Struthio camelus: one gene and its partner. The protein of the gene in region 2 interacts with the protein of the main gene of each other region in a pairwise test. Links are inferred from orthologs where the notes say so. Each region holds a gene or a part of one and is shown on either strand. Other genes may lie near its edges.

Evidence for each region.
Region 1: the proteins of PLEKHF2 (region 2) and FRMD8 interact in binary tests that used the Homo sapiens proteins (3 or more experiments, as listed by UniProt). The two-hybrid records come from large-scale screens. The link is inferred for Struthio camelus from reciprocal best matches to the Homo sapiens genes PLEKHF2 and FRMD8.

Annotation. Positions count from the first base shown.
Region 1 is NC_090976.1:75,499-82,580, reverse strand, and holds the start of FRMD8 (FERM domain-containing protein 8), read left to right. Parts: upstream 1-4,027; 5' UTR 4,028-4,108; coding exon 4,109-4,166; intron 4,167-5,021; coding exon 5,022-5,189; intron 5,190-6,407; coding exon 6,408-6,509; intron 6,510-6,619; coding exon 6,620-6,678; intron 6,679-7,082. UniProt on the Homo sapiens protein: Promotes the cell surface stability of iRhom1/RHBDF1 and iRhom2/RHBDF2 and prevents their degradation via the endolysosomal pathway. By acting on iRhoms, involved in ADAM17-mediated shedding of TNF, amphiregulin/AREG, HBEGF and TGFA from the cell surface.
Region 2 is NC_090943.1:148,700,354-148,708,267, reverse strand, and holds the start of PLEKHF2 (pleckstrin homology domain-containing family F member 2), read left to right. Parts: upstream 1-4,873; 5' UTR 4,874-4,917; exon of another isoform or gene 4,918-5,002; intron 5,003-7,914. UniProt on the Homo sapiens protein: May play a role in early endosome fusion upstream of RAB5, hence regulating receptor trafficking and fluid-phase transport. Enhances cellular sensitivity to TNF-induced apoptosis.

The DNA.
Region 1 (7,082 bases), on a different chromosome or scaffold from region 2:
GGGAGGGGGGTCCCGCGGCGCCGCCATCGCCGCCGCCGCCGCCGCCGTCCCCGGCAAGGAGAAGCCGCCCGGCCCGGCCAAGGCGCCTGCCAAGGGGAAGAAAAACAAGGACAAGGAGTATTACGTGTGAGCGCCCCGAAACCGGAGCCGAGCGGGGGGCCCCCTGTACCCCGAAACCGGAGCCAAGTGGGGCCCCCCATCCCCCGAAACCGGAGCCGAGCGGGGCCCCCGTACACCGAAACCGGAGCCGAGCGGGGGCCCCCGTACACCGAAACCGGAGCCGAGCGGGGCCCCCTGTACCCCGAAACTGGAGCTGCACGGGGTCCCCCCGTACACCGAAACTGGAGCCAAGTGGGGCCCCCCGTCCCCCGAAACCGGAGCCGAGCGGGGCCCCCGTTCCCCAAAACCGGAGCCGAGCGGGGGGCCCCGTACACCGAAACCGGAGCCGAGCAGGGCCCCCCCGTACACCGAAACCGGAGCCGAGCGGGGCCCCCTGTACCCCGAAACTGGAGCCGAGCGGGGGGCCCCGTACACCAAAACCGGAGCCGAGCGGGGGGCCCTGTACCCCGAAACCGGAGCCGAGCGGGGCCCCCTGTACCCCGAAACTGGAGCTGAGCGGGGGGCCCCGTTCCCCAAAACCGGAGCCGAGCGGGGCCCCCCGTTCCCCAAAACCGGAGCCGAGCGGGGGGCCCCCGTACACCGAAACCGGAGCCGAGCGGGGCCCCCTGTACCCCGAAACTGGAGCCGAGCGGGGCCCCCGTACACCGAAACTGGAGCTGAGCGGGGGCCCCCCGTACACCGAAACCGGAGCCGAGCGGGGCCCCCCCGTCCCGGAGCGGCGACGCGGGGTGACGTCCCCCCCCCAACCACCACCACCATCACCCCGACCCCGAGGCCAGCGAAGACCGACGTGGGATGTGTCGTCCCCCCCGACCCCGGAGCGACGCCGCGGAGGGTCGCCCCGAAACGACGGCCCCGGCGCGGGACGGCCCCCGCCCCCCCCCGCTGGTGCCCCCTCCTCGCAGCGCGGCGGCCGACGAAACGCAGACCGGCCCCGGGGGGGGGGATCTCCCCCCTCCCCATCGCAAAATGGCGCCCGACGTGGGGGTCCCACCTACATCGCAAAATGGCGCCCGACGTGGGGGTCCCCCCCACCCTCATCACAAAATGGCGCTGGACGTGGGGGTCCCAGTTTCACCACAAAATGGCGCCCGACGTGGGGGTCCCACCTTCACCGCAAAATGGCGCCCGACGTGGGGGTCTCCCCCACCCTCACCACAAAATGGCGCCCGACGTGGGGGTCCCACCTACATCGCAAAATGGCGCCCGACGTGGGGGTCTCCCCCACCCTCATCACAAAATGGCGCTGGACGTGGGGGTCCCACCCTCACCACAAAATGGCGCCCGACGTGGGGGTCCCACCTTCACCGCAAAATGGCGCCTGACGTGGGGGTCTCCCCCACCCTCACCACAAAATGGCGCCCGACGTGGGGGTCCCACCTACATCGCAAAATGGCGTCCGACGTGGGGGGGTCTCACGTTCACCGCAAAATGGCGCCCAACGTGGGGGTCTCCCCCACCCTCACCACAAAATGGCGCTGGACGTGGGGGTCCCACCCTCACCACAAAATGGCGCCCGACGTGGGGGTCCCACCTTCACCGCAAAATGGCGCCCGACGTGGGCCCCCATCACAACATGGCACCCGGCGACGCGGGCGCCCTCCGCGAGACAGTGACCGACGTGGGGGGGTCCCCAAGCCGGAGCGACGGCGCGGCGGGTCCCCCCCTCCCCGAACGATGACCGACGCGGCGTCCCCTCCACACCCAACGGCGTCCGGCCGCGCAGGGGGGGGTCTTGCCACAAAATGGCGCCTGGCGTGGGGGTATTGCCGCAAAATGGTGTCTGGTGTGGGGATCTGGCCACAAAATGGTGTCTGATGTGGGGATCTGGCCACAAAATGGCGCCCAGTGTGGGGATCTGGCCACAAAATGGCGCCCAGTGTGGGGGTCCCACCACAAAATGGTGCCAGTGTGGGGATCTGGCCACAAAATGGCGTCTGGTGTGCGGGTCCCGCCACAAAATGGCGTCTGGTGTGGGGGGTCTTGCCACAAAATGGCAACTGGGGAGGGTCCCACCACAAAATGGCACCCAGTGTGGGGGTCCCACCACAAAATGGCATCTGGTGTGGGGGTCCCGCCACAAAATGGTGCCCAGTGTGGGGGTCCCGCCACAAAATGGTGCCAGTGTGGGGGTCCCGCCACAAAATGGCGCCCGGTGTGGGGGTCCCGCCACAAAATGGTGTCTGGTGTGGGGGGTCTTGCCACAAAATGGCAACTGGGGAGGGTCCCACCACAAAATGGCACCCAGTGTGGGGGTCCCACCACAAAATGGCATCTGGTGTGGGGGGTCCCGCCACAAAATGGTGCCCAGTGTGGGGGTCCCGCCACAAAATGGCGCCCGGTGTGGGGGTCCCGCCACAAAATGGTGTCTGGTGTGGGGGGTCTTGCCACAAAATGGCAACTGGGGAGGGTCCCACCACAAAATGGCGCCCGGTGTGGGGGTCCCGCCACAAAATGGCGCCCGGCGTGGGGGGTCCCGCCACAAAATGGCGACTGAGGCGGGGGGCCCCCGTTCCCCAGGCGGCCCCCGGCCCTGCGGGGACCCCCACGAGATGGCGGCCGGGCCGGAGCGCCCCCCGCCCGGACCGAGGACGCCGAGGGGCCCCCGAAACGGGGTGTCGCCCCCCCACAACATGGCGCCCGGCCATGCGGGGTCGTGCCCCCCCCCCCCAAACACACAAAATGGCGCCGGGTTGGGGTCCCCCCCACAAAATGGCGCCAGGTTGGGGCCCCCCCTCGGGCCGCGTTGGGGGGGGGGAGGCGCCGTTTTTACTCTTTTTCTTCCGTTCGGTTTTACCCGTTTCCCCCCGTTTTCCGCTGCCGGTTTTTGTTTGTTTGTTTTTTTTAATTTCGGACAAAACCGACGACGACAATAAAAGAAACGAGAAACCGGGGTCCGCCCCCCCCTCCCCCCCCGCCCGCCGCCGCGCTCCGGGACTCCTGGGCCCCCCTCGGACTCCTGGGCCCCCTCGGACTCCGGGGCCCCCCAGGACCCCCGCTGCACTCCAGGACTCCTGGGCCCCTCTCGGACTCCTGGGCCCCTCTCGGACTCCGGGGCCCCCCAGGACCCCCGCTGCACTCCGGGACTCCTGGGCCCCTCTCAGACTCCTGGGCCCCCTCGGACTCCGGGGCCCCCCAGGACCCCCGCCGCGCTCCGGGACTCCTGGGCCCCTCTCAGACTCCTGGGCCCCCTCGGACTCCGGGGCCCCCCAGGACCCCCGCTGCACTCCGGGACTCCTGGGCCCCTCTCGGACTCCGGGGCCCCCCAGGACCCCCCCCGCCTTCCCCCCCCCGCCGCGCTCCGGGACTCCGGGGCCCCCCCGGGCCCCCCCCCGCCCATCGCGCACAGCGCAAACACGACTCTAACTTCGTAGCGCGCCTCCGCCTCTTCCTGCGCCGACCGGGGGGGGGCCCAGGCGGCCGGGGGGGGCCAGGAGACTGGGGGGGGGGGGGAAGGAGACTGGGGGGGCCAGGATACCGGGGGGGGCCCAGGAGACTGGGGTGGGGGCCCAGGCGTCCGGGGGGCCCAGGTGTCTGGGGGGCCCAGGCGACCGGGGGGGGGCCCAGGTGTCCGGGGGTGGCCTAGAAGACTGGAGGGGGGCCAGGCGTCTGGGGGGGCTCAGGAGACTGGGGGGGGCCCAGATGTCTGGGGGGCCCAGGCATCCGGGGGGGCCCAGGCGTCCGGGGGGGCCCAGGAGACTGGGGGGGGGGTCCAGGAGCCTGGGGGGGGCCCAGGCGTCCGGGTGCCGCGCCCGCCCCGCCGGCAGGTGGCAGCACCGCCGCTGGGGGGGGCGGCACGTGACGCGAAGGGGCGGGGCGCCGTGGATGACGTGTGGCTGCGGGGGGCGGGGCCGGGAGGGACCACGCCCCCTCCCCCCTCGGCGGCGCTTCCGGCGCGGCGGCGGCGGCGGCGGCGCCGAGCGGAGCCCGGGGCGCCCTGACCCCGGCGTGACCCCGGCGTGACCCCGGCGTGACCCCGGCCCCGCGCATGGAGGGGGAGGGGCCGCCCGCCCCCCCCGGCGGCGCCCGGCGCGGGAGCGGGACCGGTGAGAGGCCGGGACGCCTGGGCCCCTCGGGGGGAGGGGGCACCCGGACGCCTGGGCCCCCCGGGGGAGGGGGCACCTGGAGGCCCTGAACCGTTGGGGGCAGGCGGGGGCCCTGGGGGGGGAGGGCGCTACCAGGACGCCTGGGTCCCTCACGGGGGGTGGGGGCGGAGCTGGGTCCCTCGGACGCCGGGGCCCCCCCGGACACCAGGGCCCCGGGCGGAGCGGGGACGCCGGGGCGGTGGGACAGGTGGAGCGGGAGCCTGGACGCCGGGGCCCCTCGGACGCCGGGGCCCCCCGGACACCTGGGCCCCAGGCGGAGCGGGAGCCCGGGCGGCGGGACGGGCGGGGCGGGCCCCCCGGACACCTGGGCCCCTTGGACACCCCCGGACACCTGGGCCCCTCGGACACCTGGGCCCCGGGCGGAGCGGGAGCCTGGACACCGGGGCCCCGGGCAGCGGGATGAACAGAGCGGGACCCCCGGATGCCGGGGCCCCCTGGACACCTGGGCCCCTCGGACACCTGGGCCCCGGGCGGAGTGGGCCCCCTGGACACCTGGGCCCCCTGGACACCTGGGCCCCGGGCGGAGCGGGCCCCCTGGACACCTGGGCCCCCTGGACACCTGGGCCCCGGGCGGAGCGGGCCCCCTGGACACCTGGGCCCCTCGGACACCTGGGCCCCGGGCGGAGCGGGCCCCCTGGACACCTGGGCCCCTCGGACACCTGGGCCCCGGGCGGAGCGGGAGCCCGGGCGGCGGGCCGGGCGGGGCGGGCTGGGCCCCCCGGACACCTGGGCCCCCCGGAGGCGGGGGCCCCCGGAGGCCGGGCCCCGCGCAGCCGGACGCCGGGGCCCCCGCAGGGCCGGACGTGCTGGTGTTCCTGGCGGACGGGGCGGCGGTGCCGCTGGCGCTGGAGCACCCGCCCGGGGCGACGGCCGGCGAGCTGCAGCGGCGCCTGCGCGCCGCCCTGCGCCTGCCCGAGGCCGCCGGCCAGGCCCTGGCGCTCTGGCTCGCCTCGCCCCTGCTCGGTGAGCCGCGGGCCCGCGGGGGGCGGGGCCGGCCAGGACGCCCGGGCCCCTCGGGGGTGGTTGGGGCTCAGGACGCCCGGGCCCCTCGGGGGGGGCAGGGGTCAGGACGCCCGGGCCCCTCGGGGGGGGCAGGGGTCAAGTCAGGACACCTGGGCCCCTCCTGGGGGGTGGGGGTCAGGTCAGGACGCCTGGGCCCCTCCTGGGGGGTGGGGGGCGGGCCTGGACACCTGGGCCCCTCATGGGGGTGGGGGTTAGGTCAGGACGCCTGGGCCCCTTCTGGGGGTGGGGGTTAGGTCAGGACGCCTGGACCCCTCGGGGGGGCGGGGGTCAGGTCAGGACGCCTGGGCCCCTCCTGGGGGGCGGGGGTCAGGTCAGGACGCCTGGGCCCCTCCTGGGGGGTGGGGGGCGGGCCTGGACACCTGGGCCCCTCATGGGGGTGGGGGTTAGGTCAGGACGCCTGGGCCCCTTCTGGGGGTGGGGGTTAGGTCAGGACGCCTGGGCCCCTCGGGGGGGGCGGGGGTCAGGTCAGGACGCCTGGGCCCCTCATGGGGGGTGGGGGGCGGGCCTGGACACCTGGGCCCCTCCTGGGGGTGGGGGTTAGGTCAGGACGCCTGGGCCCCTTCTGGGGGTGGGGGTCAGGTCAGGACGCCTGGGCCCCTCTTGGGGGGGGGTTGGGGTCAGGTCAGGACGTCTGGGCCCCTCGGGGGGGCGTTGGTCGGGCCCGGACGCCTGGGCCCCTCCTGGGGGGTGGGGGTCAAGTCAGGACACCTGGGCCCCTCGGGGGGGCGGGGGTCAGGTCAGGACGCCTGGGCCCCTCCTGGGGGGTGGGGGTCAGGTCAGGACGCCTGGGCCCCTCCTGGGGGGTGGGGGGCGGGCCTGGACACCTGGGCCCCTCATGGGGGTGGGGGTTAGGTCAGGACGCCTGGGCCCCTTCTGGGGGTGGGGGTTAGGTCAGGACGCCTGGGCCCCTCGGGGGGGGTTGGGGTCAGGTCAGGACACCTGGGCCCCTCGGGGGGTGGGGGTCAGGTCAGGACGCCTGGGCCCCTCCTGGGGGGGAGTGGGGGTCCGGTCAGGACGCCTGGGTCCCTCGGGGGGTGGAGGTCAGGTCAGGACGCCTGGGCCCCTCGGGGGGTGGGGGTCAGGTCAGGACGCCTGGGCCCCTCGGGGGGGCGGGGGTCGGGCCCGGACGCCTGGGCCCCCGCTGACGCCGGCCCCCAGAGGTGCAGCTCAAGCCCAAGCACCAGCCGTTCCGCCTCTGCCGCCAGTGGCCGGAGCTGCTGCTGCGCTTCAGCGACGCCCCCGACAGCGACATCGCCCAGGGTGAGCCGGACGCCTGGGCCCCCCGGACGCCTGGGCCCCTGCAGGGGGCACGGGGGCAGACGCGGGGCCCCCCGGACGCCTGGGCCCCGCCTGACTCCGTCTGCCCCCAGATGAGCCGTGTCTGCAGCTGCGCAGGAACGTCTTCTTCTCCAAGAAGAAGGAGCTGGAGGTGAGACGCTCCCGGACGCCTGGGTCCCCTCCCGGACGCCTGGGTCCCCGGGAGGGCTGGGCAAGGGGGGTGATGGGGTCCCAGATGCCCGGGTCCCCACAGGGGCTGGGTGGAGGGGATGGGGGGCTGCCCCGGACGCCCGGGTCCCCACAGGGGCTGGGTGGAGGGGATGGGGGTCTGCCCCGGACGCCTGGGTCCTCGTGGGGGCTGGGTGGAGGGGATGGGGGCTGCCCCGGACACCTGGGTCCCCGTGGCGGGGGGCTGCCCCGGACGCCTGGGTCCTCGTGGGGGCTGGGTGGAGGGAGTGGGGGGCTGCCCCGGACGCCTGGGTCCCTGTGGGGGCTGGGTGGAGGGGATGGGGGCTGCCCCGGACGCCTGGGTCCCCGTGGGGGCTGGGTGGAGGG
Region 2 (7,914 bases):
ACGTCTAACCTGTGCCAACAGGGGAGAGGCTGTAATAGGGATGGGAAATGTTGTTTGCTGATAAATCTCTTATGGCTTCCTACATCAGAACCACAAGGTGTTCTGGAGCATCTAAGCCACAATGTTGGGACCAAGGTAGCAAGATTGTTCAGACTTCTCTCACTCTATACTTTAAAAAAAAAAAAAACTAAAAAAAACTAAAAATCCACTCTTAAAAATTCAGAGGGCATGCCCAGTTTTGTCAGAGTGTGTCCAGATGCTGTTTCTTGGTATATTATTGCGTATAATCAATTACGGCTGAAGCATGAAAGCTAAAATTTTAGAATTTCACACCTTCTATAGATACTCCAGGCAGAGCAAAACATTGCAGTCCCGTTGGGCATCCATGCCTATTAGGATTGTCATGCTTAAATAAGCATAAAATTAAATGAGGAGGAAGGAAAAACTGTTTAGATATAACCGTTGGGCTGCTTCAGTGTCGAAAAGACCACATTTCTTCACCAAAGTGTTTGCCCGTGACGTTCTGGTTTAGAAATCTGGTCTCTGATCTAACCAAAACAGCCCAAGCAATGGTCGGCTGCTGTTTTCACTCTATGCAAACCTCTGAGATTCCCAGATGTATATTCAGGCTCACCCTGAAATTTTCACCTTAACTAAAAAAAAAAAGAATACTCCATGGGAGGGCTGCAGCAAAGGTGGAAATGTGTGAAGGGCTGAATAACAATGTGATTCTCAGAAGTGAGAGGTCTGCACTGCAGCTTCAGAAACTGCGTAAGACCTGCCTGCTTGCAAATATTGCTTTTTGTAGTGTAAGTAAAAGACAGAATCAACTAATGTGAGGCAGAGGAGGAATTTAGCGCCATAACTCTAAAATCACATTGCAGGTAAGCCGGCTGCCTAACACTAGAGGCCGCCAAGCCTTGCAAACACCTCTGTTTAAGGGTCTTGAGGAGGAGCCTGGAGCTGTGTCCGTGGGCAGGTACAGAGCCATCGTGGTAGCAGTAGCTTGATGTTTTTTCACTGCTCCGTCCAGTAGGCTCGAGAAACGTAGTGTCCTACATAGGCCTCTTGAGAGTCGCTCAGCAAGCCCAGGACGTGCCAGCATAACTGGCTTTTCATAGGCTATGGCTGCGGTCCTTTGCGGGCATCTTGGGGAAGCAGAGAGGTCCTGCCCTGACTACCTTCTTAGCTCGTGGCACCCTCAAACCCACAGGAGAGCTTCCCGTCAACCTCCATCTCCTGGGGATGTAAAGAGGCAGCTCTGTGTGGCTCAGCTTTTCCCGCTGGCGTTGTTCCATTGTACAGCAAAGGATTCACAATTCATTTGGAAAGAGGTGAGAGGGACCATGAGGCTACAGCCCTCACGTTGTATTTGTCCCCTCCAAGAGGAGAGCACTAAGCTCTGGTGTCTGCTTCTGAGACTGGGAATTAGGTGTTTATGTGCCTTTGAGATCTGGATCTAGGCCTCAGTCTGTTGGAGAGCTTAAATGCAAACTGTTCCTGGAGGAATGGAAGTCTGAAACCGTTTTCCTGCCAATCCACAGTCAGATGCTATTATCATTGCTTAAAGAAACCCGAAGGGTTCAAATATAGCATAACTTCTGTTTGCCTGCTTCTAATGCCAGGAGATGTAAAAGCACCCTAAAGGGCTTCTAATGCCAGGAGATGTAAAAGCACCCTAAAGGTTTGTCCGTCCATATTTTCTTAATTGAGTTATTGCTCATTGCTGTTGAAAGTGAACACAAAAAGGTGTTCCTCCTCTTAAGCCATAGCTCAGAATAGGACAGTTTAAGGATGGAAATCCAAATTTCAGCTTATGGTTTGTTCAGAAATATATACATGGAACTTGATTCCTTCAGTGTTTTCTAGAACACTTTACAAAGCCGGGTTCACGACAAATTAACAGGATCTGCGTTCTTACAGATCCTATGGTCTACACTTTTAGTAACATAAATATGCTCTGAACTGCAAAAATGCTATGCCTTTCTAACCCTTGGAAACCAAAAATTGCAAAACTTAGGACCTACTGATGTTTTTTAAAAAATATCTTTGATTAATTTCTAATAAAGGATGGAAGGGCATCTTTTCCGTTCAAGAGTGGAAGTTTAGAATTGGGCATTACAGATTATTTAGTGAGAGCTGAAGTTAAAAATAACACAAATGTTTGCAGGGACAGTAAAAGACACTGCTCTGTAGTAAACAAAGAGGTATTTCTGGTTTGGCTTCTGAGTCCTTTCTTCTCAGGGTGTCAGCTGGCAGTTTGGCTGTGTAGAAAACTGAGGACAAGAATGCTGTTTGCAAGAGAATCGAGTTTCTGCAACTAAAATGGGATAAGTGCCAAATGAATGAAAGGTTGTTCTATGTCTGTATTAATTTTTGTTATAAACATAATTTTTGGGGAAAGGCCTTGCCCCTTCTGGCTACCTCTTTGCCAAATTCTTTCATTACCTTTGATGTACAATATGTGTGGCTTCCTCATTATGACGAATTCTCATCAAACTAAAACTCATAACATAGATGACAGAATTTTTCAGCTTTCTGTTGGCTGATTGGAAATTGCCTTCAAGTTCTAAAGACATTTTGAATACAAAGATGGTGAATAAAACTAGTCAGAAATTCATACTGTGTTAAAACACAGCGATCCCTTTCTGTTTACAATGTCAGAGAAGCAATCTATCAGAAAACAAGTTTGGCGTTTTTTCTTCATTTCATTTTTTTTCTTATGTTGAGAATAAAACTCTAACCCCACCTGGTCCCTGCTGAAGTTAACGCACACATTGACCTGAACCTACTCAGAGAATCAAGGTTTTCAAAAATCATTAACAGTAAATTTCCATACTTCAAATTTGGCTCTAGTTAGCTAGGTTAGTTGGCTTCAGTGGACTTGCCAAGAAGTAATTGATTAAAGGTTAGCAAACAGGCATAATAATGTTTCAGAAGAATATGAACTATAGGTGTGCTGGCTCCTACAGAATGCATAGAAATAGAAAGCAGCAAAAACTTAGTAAAGGTTACTTATATATGCTATAAACATAATAATATGCTTATATATTATACTACATAATATCAGTATAATAATTTATGTTTTAATGAATTTTTACAAAATCAAATGACACATGATGTTATGGAGGTGAAAAAAAGGAATTGGATAAATTTGGTGACTATCAAATAGAGTTTTGATTGCAACCTCTAGCACAGTAAGCCCACCTGTCCAAAAAAAAAAAAAAAAAAGACTATTGGAAGCTCAGTTCATGAAATAAATATTTAATTGTTCTATTTTTGTATTTTCTTCCTAAGCCTACACCAGTGGTCACTCTTGGGGACAGGGCACTAAGTTAAACGGACTTCAGACACGACCCATTTAGGTTAAGTGTGAAGAACAGAGTGGTCTGTTTTGAGCATTGTCAACTTTTTATCTGTTTATATTTAGTTCTAGTTTTTGACTTCAGCAAGCTGGAAGAGAACTCAAAAAGGAGTGAGGAAATGGTAGGAGCTGAAAAGAGCAGTCTCATAATTTGCAGGAAAGTTAGAGAAAAGAAAATTGTCATGGACAGACTACACAGCCCTCTACCAGAGTTTGAAAAGCAACCGCAATACGATTTGTTTGGAGAGAGAAGGGGAAAAAAAAGCATTAATAAAAAAGAAGTTTTTCACGCACACTTGGTTTCCTAGCTGTTACTTCCTTTCTACCCAGACTCCTAGCGGCTCTTCTGGGTCTCTTGTCTCAGTGGGAGATTTGCTCTCCTACAGCAGGGGGCCTTTCTCCTTGACACGGTTTGTTGATTCTTCATCAGGAATCCATGGAAGGGGGTCAGGTTTGGTACTCGCATTAGCGATTTGGGTTCCTTACCGCTGCGTGCTTGGGAATTCACTCTCTGAGCTGGGACTGCATCTGAATGACCCCTGTGGCGCGAATGCGTGTCAGTGGCCCTTCTCATCTGTCCCGGCCATTCGTCACACCTCCCTGCAGAAGCAGTTGTTCCCGAAGCTACAACCGTGACAACCCAAACCGAGCACAGCTCTTCGGTTCCCGTGATTTGTTAAATCCTTTAGGGCAGCGCTCAGCTTGGGCTGGGCCTTGCGGGTTTGGGAGGAGAAGCAGCCGTAGGAGCGGGGGCACTGCTGTGTGCTGGGCATGGGCAGCTCCAGCGCAGCGGGCTCTCCCGGTGCCGGGCGGGAGGACACACGCGCGGCCCCCTCGGCGCTGCGCTGCGCCCCGCCGCCCTCCCCCAGAGCGCGCCAGGCCGGGGGCTCCCCACGGCTCCCCACGGCCCCCCTTTTCCGCGCGACCATGCCAGCTGCGATATGAATTCCTCCTGACGTCACGTTTAAAAAAACGCCACTGCCAAAAATGCCACAAGCTCACTTTTAACTCTGCACCTTCATCAAGGCAAACAACCCTGCCTTACGAATCTGAATCAAACTCAGCAACTTTAGTGGGCTCATTATTACCCCTGGAAAGCCACACTGCCTAAGCGGATTTGTCCCCCCCCCCCCCAGAAAAGCCAGCCGCTGTACTGCCCAGTAAATCAGCTGAACGGGAGATGTGGAAAACGAAACTCTGCTGTATTTCACGTTAAGCGAAACTTTTTCTTAAAACAGCTTCGGGCCGTTTGCCACAGGGCAGTCCCGCCCGCTGCAGCGGGGCGAGAGCAGGCAGCGCCGCGTTAACGCCGCGACGACCGCGCTCCGCTGTCACTTCCCTGCGAAGCTCGCAGCAACCCCGAGCCAAAGCCGGGAAGCAGGAGGCGGCGCGGACAGGCCGGAGCCGGGGCCGAGGCGGCGGCGCGGAGCGGACGGAGGCGCCACCCCGACCCTTCCCGCTGGGCCTCGCCCCTCCCAAGATGGCGGCGGCCCCGCCCCGCGCGGGCGGTGCCCGACCCCCCCCCTCCGCGGCGGCGGCGGTGGCGGTGACGGGTGTGTGACCGCGGCTGCGGTGGGCAGAGGGCGGGAGGCGGCAGCGACTGGAGCGGAGGGAGCTGCGAGCGCCGGGCGGCGCGGGGTGAGGAGCGCGGCGGCCGGGGCCGGGCGGGGAGCGAGAGGAAAACTTTCCTGGCGGAGCCCCTTCGCTGCCGGCCGGGGCTCCGGCCGCCCTTGCGCGGCCATGTTGGGAGCCGGGGGCTGCCTGGCGGGGGAAGGAGCGGCCCCGGCGGCGGCGGCGGCGGGCTCCGCCGAGCCCCGTGGGCGGCCTCGGCCCGGGCTGGCGGCGCTGGGGTGCCGGCCGGGCGCGGCGGGGAGGGCGCGGGCAGCCCGCGGCGGAGCGGGGCGGCGGCGGCGCGCCGGGCTGGCTGTGGGGCAGGGCAGCGGCGGCCGGCGCTTGTTTTTTTCCCCCCGAGGTGCCGACAGAGTTGCCGAAGCGAGTTCGTCTTTACAAGGGGCGCGGGGGGGGGGAGAAGCGCAGCCCGAGCCGCGGCCGCCCCGAGGCGTTACATAAGTGCGCGGGGCTCCTGGAGCCGTGACGGGCGGCGGGGCCGGGGCGCCCGGCGGGAGCGGCTGTGTGCGGGCGGTGCGCGGAGCCGCCTGCGCGAGCTGCAGCGGCCCTCGCCGAGCGCGGTAGCGAGGGCGGCGGCGGCGGCGGCGGCGCGGGCGTCCTGGTAACTTTCAGCTACTCGTCGTTTTCCAGGCGAGCAGAGCGGCTGCCCTGCCGAAACCTTCTGGATGCTGTGGCTTTAAAAAAACAAAACAGACAAACAGGTGAAAGCGTGGAGGGCGCATCTGTCAGCGGGAAACTTGCTACTTCGCTGTTAAATTTGCCTCTCTTGGAGAGGAACGCGACTGGTCTGCTTAAAATACCTGGGGCGCCTAAGTTGTCCGAGAGCGGTTCGAGCTAAGGCATCTTGGCCGCAGGTTTTCCCTTTTGCCTGCGCTGCGTGCAGAAAACCCCGGGTTTATAAGTAGCTAGTGAATGAACTGTTCTTCATGGTGGGGGGGGGAACCCCAAAGAAACAAGCAAAAAAACCCAGTGAATTGGTCTACGGAGAGTGCATCCTGGCGTCTGATTTGTCCTGATTAACAAAAAATGGCTTTGGCTTAAGTTTTGACGTTAAGCACCAGTGCAATAGTTTGCGATACCCTAAAACTACCTGTTATATCGCTTAACCACATATTAAGACTTCCTTTGCTTCTGTTTCGATCGCGTGGCTGAGAGCGGTGCCGGAGGCAGCATTAACCTCTGACTCAGTCTGTGCCGCGTGCCGGGTGATTACTCTGGGGGTTAATGCTTTTTGGACAAACGCTATGTTTCAGGCTCTCATGTGCCTATCGCTTTGCCTACTCTATTAACCTTGTCTAAACCTAAACCGACTCTGAGATCAAACCCACAAAACTGGAATCAAATTTGGAACTGAGATTACTAATTTCTCTTACTTTCTCTAAGTAAAGGAAAAACTTAAATACGCAGCTTTCACATTCTAAGAATAGTAGATTTTGAATTATTTTCAGGGATGGTCACCTGAAAGAAGGGAAGTATTTAAAGACTGCAGTGTAATTACTCAGTGTTGAGCTCCTACAGATGCTTGTTTTATGTGAGCACATCAGTGTGAGAAAGGAATCAAGTTTTTAGCAATGAATGCAAATTTTTTCGCTTTTGAACTATGTGGTCTAAATACTATTGACTAATCAGGTGAGAATCCTTATGTAGTTAAAGGTCATGCATATCAGCTCAACTTACTTAATAATACTTTCCAGGGTGTTTCAGGGCAGTGTAGCTTATGTTCGAAATGGCATGCTAGCTAAGTGTCCAAAGTGCAGTGAAAGTGAAGCCTTGTAAGCATTACTCCCAAATTCTTCCTTCTAAATGTAAATAGACCATGTGGCGTTTGGAGTGATTAAGAGGTTTGTTCTGTGTAGAAAGCTACACAGAGGAATTCCCTTAAATGCTAGATGAAAACTAGTGAGTAGAAATTTGGGACTGGGGAAGCTGGATCACTTTCCTGCTTCCTATCTTTTACAATTAAGCAGAGCGATATCTTTTCGTCTGGAAGCAAGTTTTCATTAAAACCAGGAAGGAAATCGTTCTTTAGCAAGGGCTACGTTCTGTTTTCCTTAAATTATGGACAGAGATTGTAAGTTAGTATTGCGTACTTCTCTGGACTAACAGAAGATCTACCGTTAACCTCCTGAAGCCCATTAGTTTACGCGTTTACAGTAGAACGGTTATTGTGTTCAGATGGCGTTGCGACTTCTTGGTTTCGCCGTTGTGCTTATGGATGCAGGAAGGCTTCTTCTTGTCTGGTCAGAGCAGTAAAAGCAGCCTGGAAGGGCAGTTTTTAATGAGCCGGGATATCGCAGAGCGCGGCAGGCACATCTAGTTTACCCTGCCAGGAAGAGCCGAGGGAGTGCAATAAGGCAGGGTGTTGCCTGCAGGGTAGGATATGAACGGTTTTTTGTTACACTCGGAGCGTTTGTGGTGCTTTATCTTCCCCAAAGGGGGCTAGACATGTTAAAATGAAAGCTTAGGGTCGAGATATGGCGTGTCGATGAGGCAGAGTTGTTTTTACGCCTGAAGATATCATTTTCTGAAAAATTAGTGGTAACTAAAATGTTAGAAGTATTGGCCAAGCAAACAAACGGTATGCAAGTTTTTATTTTTAAAGGCCATTTGTTAGTGGGTGATGTCAAATAAGGAACTCCAGTGTTAACTGCGGATAAGTTTGTTAGATGTTGGTAGGTAAGAAAGTTAGTTAACTTAATGCTCTCTCTTTTTTTTTGTATTAAGAAGTTAAACTTTATTCTGTACTACTTTAAGTTCGCAAGGCATGCTTTTGACTTATTCCAAGCTCTGTTAATATTCAAGATTATTTTTCCATTTAACTCATGTGGATTTTTTTTTTTACGGTTGTTGATATCTGTGTATATATGTTTTGCTACTTTCATAGACTAATTCCATAATTTGATGGAAATGTGATAATTTGG